4 linked regions of the Drosophila melanogaster genome follow. The protein of the gene in region 1 interacts with the protein of each later gene in a pairwise test. Each region holds a gene or a part of one and is shown in the gene's direction. Other genes may lie near its edges. The genes, in order: AP-2mu, BicC, Leash and trem.

Evidence for each region.
Region 2: the proteins of AP-2mu (region 1) and BicC interact in a two-hybrid assay, tested with the Drosophila melanogaster proteins (one large-scale study listed by BioGRID).
Region 3: the proteins of AP-2mu (region 1) and Leash interact in a two-hybrid assay, tested with the Drosophila melanogaster proteins (one large-scale study listed by BioGRID).
Region 4: the proteins of AP-2mu (region 1) and trem interact in a two-hybrid assay, tested with the Drosophila melanogaster proteins (one large-scale study listed by BioGRID).

What each region holds. Positions count from the first base shown.
Region 1 is NT_033777.3:22,460,584-22,465,103, forward strand, and holds AP-2mu (adaptor protein complex 2, mu subunit), read left to right. Parts: upstream 1-1,871; 5' UTR 1,872-1,947; exon of another isoform or gene 1,948-2,007; 5' UTR 2,008-2,019; coding exon 2,020-2,196; intron 2,197-2,264; coding exon 2,265-2,703; intron 2,704-2,759; coding exon 2,760-3,457; 3' UTR 3,458-4,020; downstream 4,021-4,520. Other genes in the region: Rpn7 (regulatory particle non-ATPase 7), read right to left, coding at 170-1,339.
Region 2 is NT_033779.5:16,040,127-16,048,079, forward strand, and holds the start of BicC (bicaudal C), read left to right. Parts: upstream 1-1,920; 5' UTR 1,921-2,401; intron 2,402-2,790; exon of another isoform or gene 2,791-2,948; 5' UTR 2,949-2,960; coding exon of another isoform or gene 2,961-3,095; 5' UTR 3,096-3,119; intron 3,120-3,697; 5' UTR 3,698-3,928; coding exon 3,929-4,235; intron 4,236-4,296; coding exon 4,297-4,346; intron 4,347-4,425; exon of another isoform or gene 4,426-4,661; coding exon 4,662-4,731; intron 4,732-4,794; coding exon 4,795-4,874; intron 4,875-4,939; coding exon 4,940-5,266; intron 5,267-5,714; coding exon 5,715-5,840; intron 5,841-5,900; coding exon 5,901-6,282; intron 6,283-6,475; coding exon 6,476-7,603; intron 7,604-7,831; coding exon 7,832-7,953. Other genes in the region: CG45084 (uncharacterized protein), read left to right, coding at 2,961-3,095. UniProt on the Drosophila melanogaster protein: RNA-binding protein that is involved in oogenesis. Required for correct targeting of the migrating anterior follicle cells and the establishment of anterior-posterior polarity in the oocyte. May act as translational repressor of oskar during oogenesis.
Region 3 is NT_033777.3:10,883,689-10,888,578, forward strand, and holds the start of Leash (leash), read left to right. Parts: upstream 1-1,851; 5' UTR 1,852-2,284; coding exon 2,285-2,399; intron 2,400-3,656; exon of another isoform or gene 3,657-3,971; coding exon of another isoform or gene 3,972-4,622; exon of another isoform or gene 4,623-4,655; intron 4,656-4,890. Other genes in the region: CG14696 (uncharacterized protein), read right to left, coding at 1-226, 1,032-1,146; Ak3 (adenylate kinase 3), read right to left, coding at 3,972-4,622.
Region 4 is NT_033777.3:20,029,049-20,032,959, reverse strand, and holds trem (trade embargo), read left to right. Parts: upstream 1-1,650; 5' UTR 1,651-1,749; coding exon 1,750-1,896; intron 1,897-1,950; coding exon 1,951-2,711; intron 2,712-2,767; coding exon 2,768-2,902; intron 2,903-2,958; coding exon 2,959-3,069; intron 3,070-3,128; coding exon 3,129-3,294; 3' UTR 3,295-3,400; downstream 3,401-3,911. Other genes in the region: idc (identity crisis), read right to left, coding at 1-795, 850-1,020; CG4854 (uncharacterized protein), read right to left, coding at 3,562-3,760.

The sequences.
Region 1 (4,520 bases):
ACGGCGTAACCAAAACAATTCCAAAGAATTTAGTTAATACATAATAAGCTAACGTACAATCTGCTAGAGCATTTCCATGAGTTTTATATCGTTTTTATTATTGTACGTTGCATTAGCTTTACACTGTAATAAATGTTGAATTTGAATAAATCTTTTTATATGAACTACATTAGATGTTTATCACGCGGCTCAACTTCTGGATGCGGTTGAGCAGCAGATCGCCCTGCTTGATGGTCGCCTGGTACTGCCAGTTCTTGTTGTCAGGCCGATTGGTCTCCACAATGCCGCCAACGCGATCCACCTTGGCATGCAGCCGTCCGGCGGCGATGAAGCGTGCCAGCTCCTGGTCAATGTATTCCACTGTTACGCCGAACGACTCGGCCATATACTGCAGGGTGAGGGAGCGATACGACTCCAGCAACTGGGTGTAGCCCAGAATGCGCATCTCGCGCACGTAGTAGCGGTAGTGGGGATGAATGAGGTAGTCCAAGCGCAATTGCTTCTCTACGCCGGCCAGGTGTACGTAGAAGTTCTCATATTGGCAGTTGTACAAGGAAAACAGGAACTGTTTCACGTCGGGCAGGCCATGGAGCACCTCCTGGATTTCGGAGCCCTTGATCACTTTGTCGCGCAGCTCATTGCGCGGCAGGGCAATCATGGCCACGTAAACGGTGTAACGCACGAAGGTGGGGTAGTCCATCAGTTCGTATGAGGTGAAGGTGCTTACGGTGTCCAGGAAGAACGTGGCCGCCGCCTTGAAGTCACGCACCGCCACCGAGTAAACACCCTGGTAGACCTTCAACCGGTTGCGTCGGTCCCAATCGCCGCCTTCCTCGATCAGATACTTGGCCTTGTCGATGTTGCGAGTGATGAGATCGTGGTCAAGGTAAAACAGTCCCAAGCGGATCAGATGGAACACGATGTCCAGGCGGTGACCCAGGGAAACGGTCTTCTCGTAGGTCTTGCGGAAGGCAGTCTCTGCGGCAGCCTTGTCGCCGATGCGGCACAAGTACTCTGACTTCTTAAGATTCGCCTCGCGCACTTCCATCTCGCCCAGATTCTTCTCCGCATCCTCGATTGCCGCATCTAGCTGCTCCACCTCTACGCGGTTGTTCTCCTTCATTCGCGCCAGCAGATCCTTGTCTACGGTCCAGCCGAGTTCCGAGCAGATGTGCTCGTACCACGGGGCCATATTCTCCGTGCGAATCGCCTCCAGAAGCTTCGCCTTCAATGCCGCATCCTGCTTGTATTCCGCCAGGGTAAGCAGGAACTTCGTCTGGGCCAGCTCCAGGTTCGGGTTCTTCTCCAGACCCTGCTCCTCCAAGTTTTCGGCAGGCATTTTGGTCGGATTTGTTGGCTTCGGTTTTTTAAACACAGAAAAATAGTTGATTTTCTTGACAAAACTCAATTTTGTTTTTGTCAAATCGCAGAGTCATGTACTACCAGTGTGACCCCAAAATTATCGATAAATTATACCGCATATTTTTACATTGCCAAAAATACCAGAGCGATGTCCATCAAGATAGCGACGAAATTAGAACAGTGCAATTGCCAATTGGGAATTTGTATTTTAATTTATTTTTAAATTCTGAAAGTAATTTAAATTTAAAAAAAAAACTTGAGAGCTGTCTAGAAAAGAACTGATGTTTCATGATAACTTTGTCGAAGAATTAAGAAATATTTAGTTGTAAAATAATTGTTGAATCTATTTTTTTCCAATAACACGACTTATATATTTTTTGAAAATATTCGAGCTAAATCCCAAGAAGTAAACTCAATCTGGGATTTGAAGTGCCCAGAACTCGAATAAACACTTCTTTTTAAATAATTGTAAGACCGTATCACTTATGGTATATACTGACCTCGAAGGGCCACACTAAGGGGGAGTGAAAATTGATTTTCTGATAAAAATTTTCGCTTGAAGCTACAGCATCGTCCACTGTCCATGTATATATCTTATATTTGCATATAAATATATATATTACACCGACTTGGACTAACCATCAGATAGCGCACAAGATGATTGGCGGCCTGTTCGTCTACAACCACAAGGGCGAGGTGCTGATCTCGCGAGTTTACCGCGACGACATCGGTCGGAATGCCGTGGACGCCTTTCGGGTCAACGTCATCCACGCCCGCCAGCAGGTCCGCTCGCCAGTGACCAATATTGCGAGGACCAGCTTCTTCCACATCAAGGTCGGTGAACAAAGTTCCTATGTCACAATCACCAACCCTCCCACTTATCATCAAAACTCCTTTCACAGAGAGCAAACATTTGGCTGGCGGCTGTGACCAAGCAGAATGTGAACGCCGCGATGGTGTTTGAGTTCCTTTTGAAGATCATCGAGGTGATGCAATCCTACTTCGGCAAGATCTCGGAGGAGAACATCAAGAATAACTTCGTGCTCATCTACGAGCTGCTGGATGAGATCCTCGACTTTGGCTACCCGCAGAACACGGACTCCGGCACCCTGAAGACCTTCATCACACAGCAGGGCATCAAGTCGGCCACCAAGGAGGAGCAGATGCAGATAACCTCGCAGGTTACCGGCCAGATTGGCTGGCGTCGCGAGGGCATCAAGTACCGGCGCAACGAGCTTTTCCTGGACGTATTGGAGTACGTGAACCTGCTGATGAGCCCGCAGGGTCAGGTTTTGTCTGCCCACGTGGCCGGCAAGGTGGTAATGAAGTCGTATTTGTCGGGTAAGTTAGCATAAATAATCTAGACATTATTCCTTTTAATAATCGCCATGTTGTAGGCATGCCCGAGTGCAAGTTCGGGATTAACGACAAGATCGTGATGGAGTCTAAGGGACGCGGTCTCTCCGGAAATTCAGAGGCGGAAACCTCACGCTCCGGCAAGCCCGTCGTGGTCATCGATGACTGCCAGTTCCATCAGTGCGTCAAGCTAAGCAAATTCGAGACGGAGCATTCGATCAGCTTCATCCCGCCGGACGGGGAGTTCGAGCTGATGCGTTACCGTACCACCAAAGACATTTCGCTGCCATTCCGAGTCATCCCGCTGGTGCGGGAGGTGGGCCGCACCAAGATGGAGGTTAAGGTTGTGCTGAAGTCCAACTTTAAGCCCTCACTGCTGGGCCAAAAGATCGAGGTGAAGATACCAACCCCGCTCAATACATCGGGCGTGCAGCTCATCTGCCTAAAGGGCAAAGCCAAATATAAGGCTTCGGAGAACGCGATCGTGTGGAAGATTAAGCGCATGGCGGGCATGAAGGAGACACAGCTGTCCGCGGAAATCGAACTTTTGGAGACGGACACCAAGAAGAAGTGGACTCGGCCGCCCATCTCCATGAACTTTGAGGTGCCATTCGCGCCGTCCGGCTTCAAGGTACGCTACCTGAAGGTGTTCGAGCCCAAGCTCAACTACTCCGACCACGATGTGGTCAAATGGGTGCGCTACATCGGACGCAGTGGCTTGTATGAGACGCGCTGCTAGGGCGCCCAAGCATCCCCATCACGGAGCAAGATTATCACAATTGAATTTAACGAGATGAATGGAGAAAGTGTTACCGCATCTATTGGTATTTCCTCAATCAAATTGAACCAGCAGCTTATGTATTCCAAGATTAGTTCCAGCAAGTCCGGAGGACGCCCGAGTAGCGGATCCACCCCGGACACCCTATGCCGTATACCGCACACACTGCCTCCGCGAGCACTGGTTATGCGGGCGGGGCGTGTTCCCCATAGACATACCACTACTAGGTACTATGATTTACCCTACTATGTAAATGTAAACTATGTTGTTTTTATATGCGTCGCGGGACGTCTCACAAATCTCACGCTCACGTTTCACAACTCTAATTATTATTTGTATTATCGTATTATAAATATATATATATATGTATATTTAATCATTATTTTCATTGTGCAAAGAACAAAGGCGATAAATGCAACTAAGCGTATTTAATAGACCAAAACTCTGTCAGCGCTATCAATATTGATATTCAAGTGTTAATAATATTCGAATTGTTTAATAAATAAATTAGCATGATATATACTAAAAATGATGTGTTTCTCATTGGTGAAAGGGTATCGTTATATGGCTTTTCCCTATATCGAACTGATATGCCCAACAATAGAACGGAAAGGTACGATTACAACCTCATAAATGGGTGATATACAACTTTATGATCAGCCCACAAGTGCTGTCTTCGCTATCACGTGTGCACATTGGTTCAAGATCAGCTAAATCCTGAAATTAACGTCACAATTATTGATGATGTTCAACGAAGTGAAAACTAGTTTCTAGCCATGAATCATCGCACCAATGGAAGTGATCTTTGCGTTTTGGGAAAGCAAAAAAGGGCCTAAAAATGCCAGTTGGCATAAAAGCTTGCTTATCGTGGAAGGGGCTTTTCACAATTTTCCATCGGCGCTAGAAATCAACATTGTCCAATCAGTTCACCCACTGCGATAAAGTTTATTCCGCTGTGTCCATTAAACTATTATTTCTAGGTGTTAGCTGTTGCCAGCGCTGGATAGCCTTGACTGGTTTCGCC
Region 2 (7,953 bases), on another chromosome or scaffold:
GAATGCTACAGCAAGGTATTTTCACTTTTTATTCCCGATACTTTCGAACAGATCTTTACTGTAAAAAATAAAAGATCACAATAAGCCACGACAAATGGCTCTCAGTGAAGAGAACATTAAGAGATGCGGAAAGTCAAACCAAAAATGCACAGTTGCCTGGGCACTGGGCACGTACAGGGTGAGAAAATGCGTGTGCTCAGTCACTGAAAATCAAAATGTACTTAGAATAAATACTATGTACTTCAAACTCTTATGTTATATATCAAGCGTTAAATATATTCAAATAAAAAATCAAAAAGTTATAGGAATTGTGCACAGTGTACAGCAAGCTGAACTTTAGACTGCACTTGAGCTTAGCTTTCGGGTACCGTAGTGCATTTTAAAGTGGGGTTTTGACAGCTTCAAAATTGTAAACAACCGAATATAATTTAAGTCAATACTAATACCCGTTACTTTTAGAGTAAAAGAGTGTTCTAGATTAGTGGAATCGTTTGTAACATTATAAGGTATTCATCTGAGTAACGGGTATCTTATAGTCGAGAGAATCGACTATAACTTTATTTTGTTTGTTTTCTCCTTTCAGAATGAAGAAGACATTATGTCAATGTGTAAATAAAAGCTTAAAACCAAGCACAAAATTAATATTTTGTAACATCCACTGTACAGAAAGGAACTTTTTACGGTTGTGGAAATGAAAAGCAAAATTAATTATTATAGCAAGCGTTTATTTGTAGAAAACAACGAATACATAGAGCAAATTAAAACGAAAAAGAATCTTTATTTTCAAGTCTTGTTTCGGCAATATTAAAACTCGATGAAAGCAAAAGAATTATTTGAACATTTTTGGCCAACAAAAATCCAGCGGTAAATAGTTCCTTTACCTTAAACACAATTCAATGTATGCAATGGGTAATCGTAGCCCAAAAACAAATGAAAATGTATATTAAAAAAAAATAACAATAATAAAAAATAAATGTTGAATAATTTATAAATTCAGTACATATATTTAAAGTGTAAATAAAATGATAAAACGTAATAATAAAACTTATGAAATATAAATTAATTGGTGTACATGCAAAAACAAGTAATACAAATAGATAATTATATAATAATAAACTGCATGCCGCCAGATTTTTGTAATCAAATCGTGTTGTGAAAGTTGTCTTCCCTAATTTATGCCCATTACATTAAAACATTGACAGGGGATTTTAATTTTAATTTCAGTATGGTTTCAATTATGGCCAATATATATAATAAACTATAACCATATGTATAAGAATGTAAAAAGCTAGTTTTATGTACATAAAAATGGGACAAACATTTTGATGTTACTGAATAAATATTAAAAGTATTAACCAAGAAATATGAAAGTAGGATAAAAAAACAGTGAATGTTTCCAGCTGCTAGGAAAAACGATAAGTCTTAGATCTATAAAGAGAATCAAAAACGCGGTCAAATGCATAGCACATAATATATTCATATCCCCAATAAATAACCCGAAATGTGTAAAGCCAGAATAAATGTAATAATAAGATTGAAGAAAACAAAATAGTGATGTAAAATAGCAGCAAGGAAATAAAGTAACCCCTATTCAATAACTATTGCTGACGTCTTTTACTCGTACATGTCATCATTTAATTACGTAATTTAAGTTTGGTTTATTTAAAGTTTGATTTCCGGTTGTACAAGGGTGAGCGTACTTTTAAAACCCACTGTATATAAATACTTTGGTAAAGTGCAGGTTGGGGAGTTTCAGAAGCTTGAAAAGCTCCGTTTCCCGTTATAAAGCTATTGCTGAATATCCGTTATCCAGTTGGCTGGCAGCTTTTTAAGGTTGTTCGTGCACTGGCTTCACTCCCCACAGAACACAGAGCTTTTGGATCTGAAGGTCAGTTGGGACTGGGACCCACATGCCGAGCTTAGTTTGATAGTCAGCGCGCTTTAATGACGACAACTGCACGGCGCGCACAACCCATTAATAATATATTAATTCAAAAGAGCTATAAAATATTAAAAAATATTCAAATATAACTAACTAACGCGCAGTGCACGATTTTCTGACAACAATTCAGTTTCGCTTTTCATGAGACTCCATTGCATTTTCCTTTGTGTTTTTCACACACGTGGTGTTTTTCTGTTACTCGCACTTCGATAGTGGTTATTTTTTTTGGTTACATTGAAAAAATACACCGACTGCCAGCCGAATTCCCATTCGAACCTTAATTTGACCAATTGACGGAAAATTAATTGCGCCCAAAATTAATTAGCAAGCGGATATACAATTTTTTTACGTGAAAAGAGCGTGTTATTTGTCGAAAAGATTTTACAATTGATTGTGTTTAAGTAAATTAACCTGCGATATCTATGTGTATGTGCTACGATCCGAATTTCTGACATTACGGTAAGTGGCGTGTTTTTGGCGGGAATAAAGTCGGTTTCTCTTTGTGCCGTATTTCTCTACCGTTTTTTCTGGCGCCAAAATGAATGAAAACGGTTGGCAACATTTCAAACTTAACATTGCAACATTCTAACCGCTGTTAAGCGTTTGCTCTGCAAATTGTTGTAGCTATGTTGGAGTTCTGGAACACCACCTCTCCCTGCGACTTTGTTTTGTTTTTCGCTCTCGACATATGGAATCGAATCTCTTATTCCGGGAGCGGTTCATTGACCCAGCAACAACAATATTCGCCAGATTTTCTCCTGCCAGCGATTTGCGGAATTCATCCGCTCAACAGTTAGAAGTAAATGCCGTCGAGCAGCGGGCAAAATCGATCGACGAAATCGAGAGCCGCGTTCAGTTGCCTTCAAGCCGTACTTAGAAGAAGTGCTGGTCCCCCAGAAATCAGAGAGATTTTTCCCAACTTGCATTTTTCCAATACTCTGACAAAGCCCCTCAGACCGTCGCAATCACACAGCTATATACTGATATATAGATCTCTATTGCGCAGATCACACCTTAAATGCCTTTCGTCGAGAGATTTCAACAAATACGTAATTTTGTTATGAACGTCTGCCTCGTCGAGGCCATCCAATTCGTCCAGGACCTCTCGCACGCCATCTGTCTGGACCTCCAGGGCCTATTTAATCTCAAGTAGAGATCACCGAGCGATCTCCCAGCGGTAAGTTACGCCATTGGTTTTTGGGCACAAGGAAGTGAAAGTGAAGACACGGGTGAAATTACGGTTTTCGGGATCTCGAGAGAAAGGGGAAAGTACGAACCTCATGGCAGCAGCACTCCATTTTGAGAGGTTATGTGAAAGAACACACAAGAAAGTTTGGAATTTTCGACAGGCGGCGAACCAATAATAATGTTGTTATCCATAATAATATTAATTAGTGAATTTTTATTTCACCTTTTCGCGGCATTATTCTCACAAATTTATAAGACAGATTTTCAAATTAAGACAGAAAGTTTTTTAATGTTAGTGAAAAGTACTTATTCCAGTTGATAGTTAAATACTATTTACCGCAAAAAATTAAAAGAGAACTAAATTTAAAGGTAAAATCGTTTTTTTTTTTGGAAAGTGCATTGCTTAAATTATGGTACCGACTATCAAAATAAAAATAATTAATTTTTATATGGTGTTTCAATATTCACTTTAAATTACCTATGACTCGCTTTCTAACCACTCTCTTCTTATTACGAACATCAATTTTCTTGTTACATCATTTCGGACCTTTCATTTTTCATCACCAGCTCATCCCATCAATTCAGATACACTTTACTTCATTAAGTAGCAGCAATCATCTAACAAAGCTGACCAAACAACGGACCGGCTTCCAGAATCCTTAACTGAGACGGACGTTTTGCTTGGTTTTTAAAACTAAACGACTTTTTGGTACCCACACCTGTTGACCTCTGACGAATTTCTCGATCCACTGACCGATCCACTGATCCAGTGATCATCATCATCATCCGAATTCCACAATGTTGTCCTGTGCCTCTTTCAATAAACTGATGTATCCGTCGGCCGCAGATGTTGCCAAACCGCCAATGGTGGGCTTGGAGGTGGAAGCTGGATCCATTGGATCCCTGTCCAGTCTTCACGCCCTTCCATCGACCACCTCGGTGGGCAGTGGAGCCCCCAGCGAGACGCAGAGCGAGATCTCCTCCGTGGATAGCGATTGGAGTGACATACGCGCCATCGCCATGAAGTTGGGCGTTCAAAACCCAGACGATCTCCACACGGAACGTTTCAAGGTGGATCGACAGAAATTGGAACAGTTAATAAAAGGTAATGCCTTTATATATAAAAATAATAGATTCCTTATTATACATTGCCTTTTTTCTGATAGCGGAGAGCTCCATTGAGGGAATGAATGGAGCTGAATATTTTTTCCATGACGTGAGTACATATTTTTAAGTTTTGGGCACCTATTAGCTTCACACTTTCTTTTGTCTCATTTTGAGACACAGAATGCCATGCCTTATAAATATTGAACATATAATAATATGTTTCCTATTCAATAGTATATTAAGTTATTTAGTTTTTGAGCAAAATTTTTAAGTTAATTGATTCATGTCTTTGTTTGGCAATCTGACTTTGCATCTATAAAATTTCAGTGTATAACCCAATTTGTTTTAAGATACTGTTAGGACCGACTCTTTTGACTTGATATAAAAGAATTCGCCATATATCCAAAACATATTCTTTTACTAGATCATGAACACTACGGATACTTATGTGAGCTGGCCTTGCAGACTCAAAATTGGTGCCAAGAGCAAGAAGGGTAGGATATTGAAATATTTTCAATGTTCAAGAGTATTTTTCAAATAAATCCCATAATTTAAAGATCCCCATGTGCGAATTGTGGGAAAGGTGGATCAGGTTCAGCGGGCAAAGGAGCGCATCCTTAGCAGTCTTGACTCCAGGGTGAGTGAGCCAAAGCATAATACAAACTTATCTGTTTTAATTGTTACCCATTTTTCTCCGAACAGGGCACTCGAGTGATCATGAAAATGGACGTCAGCTACACGGATCACTCGTACATCATCGGACGAGGTGGCAACAACATCAAGCGCATAATGGACGACACGCATACCCATATCCACTTCCCCGACTCGAATCGCTCCAATCCCACGGAGAAATCCAACCAGGTGTCGCTGTGCGGCAGCCTAGAGGGCGTGGAGCGAGCCCGGGCTCTCGTTCGGCTCTCCACACCGCTGCTCATCTCCTTCGAGATGCCCGTAATGGGACCCAACAAGCCGCAGCCCGACCACGAGACTCCCTACATCAAGATGATCGAGACCAAGTTCAATGTTCAGGTGAGTTCCAGATGTCGGAGTCAACTAAGTGTAAGATTATAAATTAATTATAAATTAATCATGGCATGTTACCAAATATTATTTGCATTTGACTATAATGGCTTGATTAGTTTAACTAATTTAGGTAAGATTTTGTAATATACATTCATACATACATTTAAGAGGGGGTATAGAAAATGTCAAATTTTTTTTTCCCAACCCTTGAGAGTTGTGATTATATATTGCTCCATTATAATTTTATCAACTGATGTTACATTAGGCTAATTTTGCAGTTGTGTTATTATTATATATTTTTAAGTGATTTAGAACGCATTTAAAGTAATAAAGTTACTTAAACGTTATTTTCGAATTTGGCAACCTTAAATTACAACCAAGGATTTTTGTAAACAGTTTTTTCGTTGCTCTTAATTATTATTGAATATATTTTAAAGATTTTTCCTCCTTTCAGGTCATATTCTCCACGCGTCCAAAATTGCATACCTCGCTGGTTTTGGTCAAGGGATCCGAGAAGGAATCGGCGCAGGTCCGAGATGCCACGCAGCTGCTGATCAACTTCGCCTGTGAGAGTATTGCGGTAGGTTCGAGAAGGATAACTCAAAATAAGGCTCATCAGCGAATCCTTTTTCCTTTTTAGAGCCAAATCCTGGTGAATGTCCAGATGGAGATCTCGCCGCAGCATCACGAAATCGTCAAGGGCAAGAACAACGTGAATCTGCTGAGCATTATGGAGCGAACCCAGACCAAGATCATATTCCCCGATCTGAGCGACATGAACGTGAAGCCCCTGAAGAAGTCCCAGGTCACGATCAGCGGACGCATCGACGACGTCTACTTGGCGCGACAACAATTGCTTGGCAATTTGCCCGTAGCATTGATTTTTGACTTTCCGGACAACCACAACGATGCATCCGAAATAATGAGCCTCAACACCAAGTACGGCGTCTACATCACGTTGCGCCAGAAACAGCGGCAGAGCACCCTGGCCATTGTGGTCAAGGGAGTGGAGAAGTTTATAGGTAAGATCTCTAAAGCAATGTGTAAAGTGTATGATTTTCGTTGATTCTGCATTAATATACGATTGCACTTTCCATTATTGTTTGATTTTTATCCCATATTTTCCTTACTTTTTAGATATATTATACAATTTAAGATATTTAGCAAGTGCTGAATTAAATTTCCGTATTAATCCGTTGTTGTCACCCTCCTTAGACAAAATCTACGAGGCCCGCCAGGAGATCCTGCGCCTGGCCACGCCATTCGTGAAGCCCGAGATCCCCGACTACTACTTCATGCCAAAGGACAAAGACCTTAATCTCGCCTACCGCACCCAGTTAACTGCTCTGCTGGCTGGGTATGTGGACAGCCCGAAGACTCCATCGCTGCTGCCGCCCTCCTTGGCTGGCCAACTGACGCCCTATGCCAACAACAATCACCTGTTGTTGAACGCCAATGGCTTGGCCACGCCCACTGGGGTGTGTGCGCCCACCCAAAAATATATGCAGTTGCACAACAGCTTCCAACAGGCTCAGAATCGTTCCATGGTGGCTGGTGGGCAGAGCAACAATGGCAACTATCTGCAGGTTCCTGGAGCGGTGGCGCCGCCTCTCAAACCGCCGACTGTTTCGCCACGGAACAGCTGCAGTCAGAATACCAGTGGTTACCAGAGCTTTAGCAGCAGCACCACCTCCCTGGAGCAGTCGTATCCGCCGTATGCCCAATTGCCGGGCACCGTGTCGTCCACTTCATCCTCCACCGCGGGAAGCCAAAATCGGGCGCATTATTCGCCAGATTCCACTTACGGCAGTGAGGGTGGTGGCGTTGGCGGCGGAGGTGGTGGTGGGGCGCGTCTGGGACGACGCCTTAGCGATGGAGTGCTGCTGGGGCTGAGTAATTCCAACGGTGGAGGAGGTAACTCCGGAGGAGCCCACCTCCTGCCCGGCAGTGCCGAGAGCTATCGGAGTTTGCACTATGACCTTGGAGGAAACAAGCACTCCGGCCACCGTGCCTTTGACTTCGACATGAAACGGGCCCTGGGCTACAAAGCCATGGAGCGCACCCCGGTGGCAGGGGAGCTGCGAACACCCACGACCGCTTGGATGGGAATGGGCTTGAGCAGCACCTCGCCCGCCCCTGCCCCGCTGGAGAACGGGGAAAATGGGGCTGCTGGTGGAGGAGCATCTAGTGGGTGGCGGCTGCCACCAGGACTGGGTTCCCCTTACGGACTGAGTGCCACCACCGGACTCCTGGACGCCACTCCAGTCAACCGACGGATGCAGCTAGCCAAGCACAAGGACATCCAGACTCTGCTCACCAGTTTGGGTCTGGAGCACTACATCAGTGAGTAGCTCCGCCGATCATGTCCGTTTTTACCAACTGTGTACTAGAAGTCTTTTATAAAGCTATCATATATGTCTGGCTTGAACTGGAGAGTGTTTTATTTAACGCAAACGTTTTTTCACAGTCATAGATAAAGTTACATAAAGTTCAACATCCATATAGCATTTAAAATCAAACTATTTTATATTTACAACCTGGGAAAACTACAGTTTTTATTTCTCCTTTCAGAAATATTCGTTCTAAACGAAATCGACCTGGAGGTGTTCACCACCCTGACCGAGGAAAACCTGATGGAGCTGGGTATCGCGGCGTTTGGAGCTCGCAAGAAGCTGCTGACGGCCATTCACACG
Region 3 (4,890 bases), about 12 Mb from region 1:
GGTGCATTGGGCGGAATGGTAGCCCGGAAGGGAAAGACGTACTTGCCGGTGGGCAACTCCAGCTGCGAGCCACCGGCCTGGCCGTAAACCGGCTGGTCAGTGCTGTAGTAGACCTCGGTGGTGGTGTGGGTCACCAGGGACTTGGTCGTCTTCCCATCCTCTCCCACTCGCTCCTCGCTTTCCTGCCAACGCGTCTCGCCGTATCCATTTATGGTTATAAAGATCGCTGCAATTGGATTAATTTGTCTGTACTGCCGGGTATGTAATTCAATTATGCATTTAGTTTAATTGCCATTGACCTTGGACCTTTTGTGTGTTTCGGATGTAGAATTGTATTGGAAAATTGCTCAGCTACAAACAACTGTCTTTGTTAATGAACTAACAATAATTTAATCAGAAGCATAAAAAAAACGAATGCTACCTAATAAAGTTCACCATCAAATTAAAGCGCTGCTAAGGCTCGACTATTTGATACCCTAGGAAATATTTGATTATTTGAATTTGAACCGATGGCTAGGGTCCACTTAGCTTGCTAATGGGATTTGTATAAATTTATATATATATGTATATCTGCATGAATTACGCCTAATTGACCCAAAATGCTACCTATACACTACAATTTAAAGGTATTGGCACGAACGGGCTGACCAGTAACTGAATCAAATATCTAATAATACAAACAGCGTACGCAATTTCAAAACAAAACTAGTTTTTACGCCGCTATCAGATATCCGCCAGCCAGCCAAGCGGCCACATGTGTGTTGTATATAAACTTTATGTATACATACATATATGTACATTTGTATATACAATACACATCTTTCAAGCATATCTACCGGCAACAATAACATTAAACCAGCGGATAACAAAGCACCAACAATATTAAGTGGATATTTATTTATTAGTGGATGGTAAAACGGTATGGGATTCAGAATTTGAATGGTGATGGAGGGGGATGACGTCATGGTTTCGAGTCCATTAGAATACATATGTATGTAGTGCGTCTTCTTCCGCATGTCGGTGTCACTTACATCGAATCGTCTTGGGGCGCTCCGTAATCAGTTCCGCCGTGCCGGAGATAAGCTGACCGGCTTGATAGAGCCCCAAAGGATTGCTGTCGAAGACGAAGTTCACCTTGCTGCTCATCCTGTCCAGAATTGGCTCCTTGGCGACGGTGTCGGGTGGTATCGCGCTATCAAGTTCCTTTGTTTGTTTTATTGATAGTTGGTGGAAGAGGTAGGGATTCGATGTATTCGAGGGTTCCGGCGACTCAGCTCGCAAGCTCCGAACGCGAGCAGCTCTGGCTTAATACTGAATTCTCAAAAGTCTTTGGTGAGACCGAAGAACCGAGAAGCAAACTTTTGTGCGCGAGAGGTTACAAGAAGAAGAAGCGAAGGACAGAACGGGGAAGCACACGAAATACTATATGGAGCATTATGCTGCTAAGCCAACTAAAGTTTAATCTTAATAAAATATGTATGTATGCTTCAATCATCGCTGACATCTAAGCTGAGCGTTTTGTTATCTATACAGTAAAATATTTGGTAATTATTATTCGTAGTGAAATATATCAACTTAAATTATTGGCGATATTCAAACAGAGAGTTTCTTCTTCTCTTTTCAAACATCAAACCATAAAAAAAGACCATTACTACCAAGCATTTCTGAACTCTTGCATTACAACTGAAAACAGTGCATTTAAGAAACGCTGTTTAGAACTTAAACTTTAAATTAGACACATTTGAAAATACCGATTAAAAAGTCTGCGAATTAACCGCTTCAGCTGGCCAGGCGCCCGGTGGCAGCACCGCGCAACAGCTGTTCGTGCTATCGGACCGCCGCTCTCACGGTTATCGAAAGAGAGCTGCAGCTACAACAAAAAAGCGTAACTCACGGATCTCGTAAATTTATAAGAAATTTAATTATTCAACCCGCCAGCGGACGACAGCAATCGAATTAAATTAGCCCGGGGTGTGCGACCAACACTTGTGGGCCATTGCGAATTGATGGATATCGAGATTCCCCAAGAACTGGCCACAATCAGCGCGAAAAAGCTCCCACTCACCGCGCGGTGTGTGTAGTAACATCAAATCGTAAATCGTGAGGCGAGTGCGTGTGGTGGTGCTACTATTCTGCATATACTTTAGGGTGGTGCGGGCCGTGGTGCTGCAGTGCATCCATGTACGTTTGTATGTGGCGGCATTTTGATGACGAAATTATTTTTGGATAAGTGCGTGAGGAAAGTGGCCAAACCGGAGGAGTCATCACCATCAACGCCAGCGGAATGGAAAGCGAGCGGCTGCGAATCACGCTGGACAGCGCGGATCGGGTTTACTTTGCGGGCGACATAATTCGCGGCGAGATCTGGATGAACGTCAACAAGCGCACCAAAATACGCGGTAAGTGCCAGTCGAGCATAACTTGCCGCTTCCTGGAATGCACATCTCAAAGCTCGGCTTGCATCATCCATGACTCAGCTGTAGACACGCAGAGAAAGTGTTTCAAAACCCTACATTTAACGTTAGGCTCTTAGTTTATGATTCTGGGTATTGTTTACATGTGTACATATAGATCGTATTACCGAAAAGATTTAGCTTAGATATAGTAATCTAATATTAACAAAGATGGTTTTCTGCACAACCCATCATGTACTCCACAAATAGAAATGTGCTTTTTTCTGTTTTGTCAGCGGTTTGCAATCCATTGTCCGCCCGATGGTCAGCTGGACTTTCGTTGCGGCCCCATTCGCATAAACAAAGAACTCCATCAGTTAACAAAGCACAGCGGCCATTTTATGGGGCTTCCTCCCCCTCCGCTTCACCGCAATTTCGAGATTCTTGCTCGCAAATTCCTCTAATTGCCTTCGGCGCTCGCCTTTCATTCATCGATAAGCTTTCAATTGCCGCCCGTTGCAATTGCAATTGAATTTCTTTTCGTTCTTCACGATTCTTGAGTACTGGCATTTGTTTCAGGAAATGCCAACCCAAACGCATCGCGCGAGAGGGGAGTGTAGACGGTGGGGGCATGTGCGAAGAGAGGCACACTCAGTTGGCGTGCCGAAAAAGCCGTAATATTGGGCCAAGCGCAAGTCGGGTCTAAATGAGAGAGAGGTGAGAGGGCGCTCGCAGCACAGTGGTGGCCACAAAGGGGTTTATATAGGTTTTTTTTTTTAATTATCCAGAAATAAGATTCCCAGTAATGGTATATTCCGAAGTATAGTGTTTAAAAGGCAAACAGCTATCTCCATTTTATTATGAAGTATACCTTTAAAACAATAAGTGGTTTATTGAATTTTTTATAAATGACTTAAAGAATTTTAAATCTGACATAATTGGGCGCCCTTGACTGTACAAGCGCCTCTCTGTTGTGATTTGCCACTATACAGGTGTGCGTGAGAACAGCAGCTGGTCCGTGCATGTGTGAGTAAGAGAGCGCGAGACTAAACGGGAGCGCCACACTATCCCATATTTTTTAGAAATTAATGCGCTACGCGATAAAATGAAGGGCATTTGGGTGTCATGAGGTGAAGCTAAAAGTGTTGGCTTCACGCATGGGGCCAAGGGTTTGTGGACATTGCCTAAAAATAGATCGACGGCTGTCCGTTAACTGCCCAAAAGTCAAAGTCGGCTGTTATCAGCGCATATATATATATATTTATATATATAAAAAACGCGATTTATTATCAGAGCACAGAATACGAGTACAAAAATATGTTTATACAAAAAAGGGGGGAGCTGCAAGACATGCTCATGAGGGGAATGATATCTGTGGAAGAAGGAATACATGACAGCTGCTACTGTGTAAGGCTTCGCAATTACATTAATTATACGCCTGTTCCTCTTAACCGGCCCACAAACATACATATTTCATACGTATTCATTTATATATATCTAAATATATTATGCACTTAATTGAACACAGCAGTTTATCGTTAGTTTGTGCACATTGGATGTAATTTCGGGGTTGCTCCATTACGCATTTATGCGGTCGTTGAGGAAAAGCTCCATCATCGGCCAGATCTCCTTTGTCTGTTTTCCCTTGAAAGTGGCAACCAGACCCTTCTTTTCGTACCAGGCTATTACCGGGCTCATCACCTCATCGTAGAGCTCCAGTCGCTTGGCCACCACATGGGGTTTATCATCTTCGCGTTGCATCAGCGGCTCCCCCGTCACATCATCTTTGCCAGGCACTTTGGGATTCTTGAAGCCAATATTGTACACCCTGCCGGAGGGCGCATGGATCCAGCGATTCTTGACCCGGTCGATAATCACACTATGTGGAACGTCCAGCGTGATCACGGCATCGATTTGCTCGCGTGCAGCCAGTGCCTCGGCCTGGGCTATATTGCGCGGGAATCCGTCTAGGATGTACGACCTGTTGCCTACCTCGGTTATCCGGGCCAGCATCGTCTTGGTCACAATCGCGTCGGGCACCAGTTTACCTTCAGCAATGTACTGCTTGGCCTTTTTTCCAAGTTCTGTGTTTTTTATGATGTTCTGGCGCAGAATGTCCCCCGTGGAGATGTGCACACATCCATGGTTCTTGCAGATCAATTCCGAAATAGTTCCTTTGCCCGAGCCGGGGGCTCCGATTATCACAGCGCGAAAGATTTTCGTAAACATGTCTAAGCTCTAGTTCTTCAACCTCTCCTTGAGCTGCAAGACAAAAAATTGAATTGATACATGGTTAAATTTAATATGATATGATAAAAAAATTCGGTTTATCTATTTAATATAGGATCTGTTTTTATATTTTGATTTAGGGTCAATAACATATAATCTTGGCAGTAAAACCAAAATTATTTCAGTTGACCATACTCGACTACTTTTATGGGCGATAAGACTATCAAGCACGCCACAATTGTTTGATACAGAGGTGATGAAGGTCATA
Region 4 (3,911 bases), 2.4 Mb from region 1:
GCTCATTTTGCTGCCAGCCGAATCACTGTTACCCCGCCGTACCTTAAGTGGATTGCCGCGGTCAGTTGTCTTGGAGGTACTCGATTCTACAGCCACCGAGGCCGTCGATGTAGCTGACCTGCGGGGATTCACTCTCCGCTTGGTGGCATTCCGCGCATGGATGGACGCGCGAACGCTTTTTGAGGGAACGAACTCCTCTTCGGTTGAGTTCAGATCGACTTCCGCATCATCCTCGTGGGCACTTTCGGTCAACTGATCATGCTCGACCTGGTCCAGGTATTCGATTTCGGCAGATAACTCGGACAGGGCTTGATCGGCCATCTCGTGGTCATAGCCCTGATCTGGGATGAGGTCGCCCTCGTACGTCTCATACACGTCATAAACCTCCTCGATTATGCCGTCCTCCTCCACCTGCTCGTTCTTCACGTGCACAATCCGATCCTTTTCCAGCTCAACGAGGATACCATCCTCAATCTCGTCATGGAAGACACCACCCTGCGTTTCGGCGGCATCGTCCGCCTCGGCATAGTGGCTCTCGTCCAGGTCCACATCCTCGTCTTCCTCGTCATGCTCTGGCTCCTGCTCCGCCTCATCGGGATCGACATCCGGCTCCAGCTTGGTGGCTGTCTCTGAGCCCTTTTTCTCCGGTGGTCGCTGCTCCACCTCTACGGGTCCAACGAACTGGCGCAGATGGCCGTACGATCTTTGGCAGGTCTCTCGAAACTTAAATGCCATTTTCAGCACCTTGAAGCACTTCTCGCATATCTTGTCCGGATAGTGATCGAACTGTTTGATCTGCCAAGGAAATTGCATTGTTATATGGTTCGGGGTCCAATGGGACAAACTTACGGGCACTCCGCCGCACTCGCGAATCATGTGGGTCAGATCCTTTTCCGAATCGTCGTTGAAAATGCTGGCCATGGGCTCCTTGGGCTGCTGCAGGCAAACCCGGCAAACGATCCACTTCTGCGTGCTCGTTGCCGCTGCCGCCGGACTCGCATGTGCTGCCGAGTCTCTCATTGTCGCGAATAGGAGATGGATCTCTTCCAGGAGGCTACTTACCCTCCGCTATAATATTTATAATAACACGCTCGCTGGACGAAGACGACGCCAAAAAAATAGATTGTAGTCTGGAGCGAAGTGCACGCGTTGCAATGCGAATGTCGCCACACAGGGTGACCACAGTCGACGCTAAGGGTATTCCATTCGCTACTTCAAATATTAAATATATAATTAAGAATACGAATGCATTTTGTGGGCAGTTAAATAAATCAGTAAAATTGGAATTCAAGTGTTTTACAATTTAAATATATAAAAGCTTGATTAAGCAGTTTAATACAATATTATATGTCAAGCTCATGTAAAGTTCCATCGTTCCATAAGACAGTGTGGTCATTACTGTACTGAAACAAAACTACTTTGATAGAATAGTGCTTTTCCTTTTTATTATATAAACGAACTTAAAACCATTTTCCTTCAATATTTGTAAATTGAAAATAAAATTAATAAAATGACGCGCATTTTTATATTATTTTCTACCAAAAAAAAATTATTTAAAACATTTGTTTGGTAAAAAGTGCACATACAGCTATGTACCCTGTACGCTCCATGTAGTCGTTCATAACGTGCATTCACCGTATCAACTTTGGCGGGCGCGTTTCGCTGTGAATGGCCAGTGGCCGTGGACGCTTAAATTCAGCTGTTTGAATCTTCTGCAACAACCGAAGTGATTGTTTTATCGAATTAGCCATGAAAACTGAGTCCAACGAGAAGTGGGTGGTGTGCCGCGTTTGCCTGAACAATCCCAGCGAGGGCGAGGAGCTGCTCCACGACATATTCAGCGAAACGGCAAGCACGCGACTGGACCAAATGCTGCACATTTGCGCAGGCATTCCAGTAAGTGTGAATCCTGCTTGGTTTGCCCATTTTAAATTATTCCAACCCAAACAGGTCAGCCTAGATGACAACTTCCCGGACAAGATGTGCAGCAAGTGCGTGCGCTGCCTGCGGCTCTGCTACAAGTTCCGTCTGACATGCCAGCGATCCCATCAGCACATTATGGACATGCTGGACCGGGAGGCCAGCAATGCTAACGCCGCCGGCGAAGGGGATTTGCTTAGCATCGCGGAGGACCTTTCGGTGGAGAGCGTACTGAAGTCGTGGGAGGACTACGCCAGTCAGCTGGATGGCGGCATGAAAGTGGAGGGCGAGGAGGATCAGCAACATCAGGTTATCACCTATGTCGTGGAGGATGGTGATACTGATGATACCAATATGTTCGATGTGCACGATCCCACGCAGCCGGTGCCAAATGAGATCGAGGAGGCTGAAACCTATGCTGAATACGAGGAATACGAACTGCTCACCAACGAAAACTCGCCGGAAATCGCACAGGAAAAAGGCTCCACCGGCACAGATGTTGCCACAGAGGAGCCGCCCGAAGAAGAAATTGCTGAAGACATACTCGACTCTGACGAAGATTATGACCCAACTCATGCTAAGCCGGAAAAATGCGACCGATCGGGCAGGAAGCCAGTTGCATACCACAAGAATAGCCCAAAAGTGGAAACCTTCAAAAAGAAGGTGGGCAGAAAGCCGCGCAACAAGCTGAGCACATACATCTGCGATGTGTGCGGAAATATCTATCCGACTCAGGCGCGTCTCACCGAGCACATGAAATTCCATTCTGGTGTTAAACCACACGAGTGCGAGTAGGTTTAAAAGTTGAAAGTAAATAGTAACTATGGCTAATAGGATGTTATTATAGGATCTGCGGAAGAGGCTTTGTGCAGAATCAACAGCTGGTACGGCACATGAACACTCACACGGGGAACCGACCATACAAGTGCAACTACTGTCCAGCTGCCTTCGCCGATCGATCCACGAAAACCAAACATCATAGGTGAGAAATATTCGAAACAGTTGAAAGTAAATTAAACTGACATTATTTCTCTCCAGAATTCACACTAAGGAGCGTCCCTACGTGTGCGACGTTTGCTCCAGAACGTTTACCTACTCGGACAACCTGAAGTTCCACAAGATGATTCACACGGGGGAGAAGCCGCATGTGTAAGCATCAACATATTTTACTACTTCATTATCCTGCAATAATAGCTATTCTCTTTCAGCTGTGATCTTTGTGGCAAAGGATTTGTGAAGGCCTACAAATTGCGTTTGCATCGGGAAACGCATAATAGACGTATCACCTGGAGAAATGACGCAGAAGAGAGCACCAAAGCAGAAGATGTCAAGGGGGAAACGCCGGAGTTTCTCAATGAACTCCCCAAAGAGTGACATGTTCTTTTTAGTTCTTATGCAAAGTTTAGTCTAAGTATTTAGTAAGCCGTTGTTTAAGTTCTTCCATTAAGCAAATAAATGTACACAGGATATATTTTTTTGTACAATTTGTTTTTTACTTCTTATAAAAAATTAAATAAGGAAAAATGACAAATTTTAATGGCGGTGCCCTATGGCTTAGAACTTATCCATTAATATATTGTACAATTTTCAACGAGAAACTTATTTAATTTGCACCTCAATGTTTCCTCTTAGTCACTGCAATCATTTCACCTCTTTCGTCCTTTTGTGTGACTTTTCGTGGCTGTTTTTGTGGTGCAGCTGGGAGAAGGACTTCTGGCAGTACTGGCAGCTAAATGGTCGTTCACCGGTATGGGTTTTCAGATGAACCCGGAGGACGTTGGAGTAGCCAAAGGACCTGCTGCAGAACTCGCATTTGTACGGTCGTTCGTTGGTGTGGATCCTAAAGTGTATTTAACGTTAGAAACTTCCGTGGATGTCTTAAGATTTAGATTTGAAGTAACTTTTATCAAGACTTGTTAACAATTAATTGACATTAAAGCTGATTAACAGAAATATATCTCTTTTATTCTAGTTATGACAGCCCTATATGT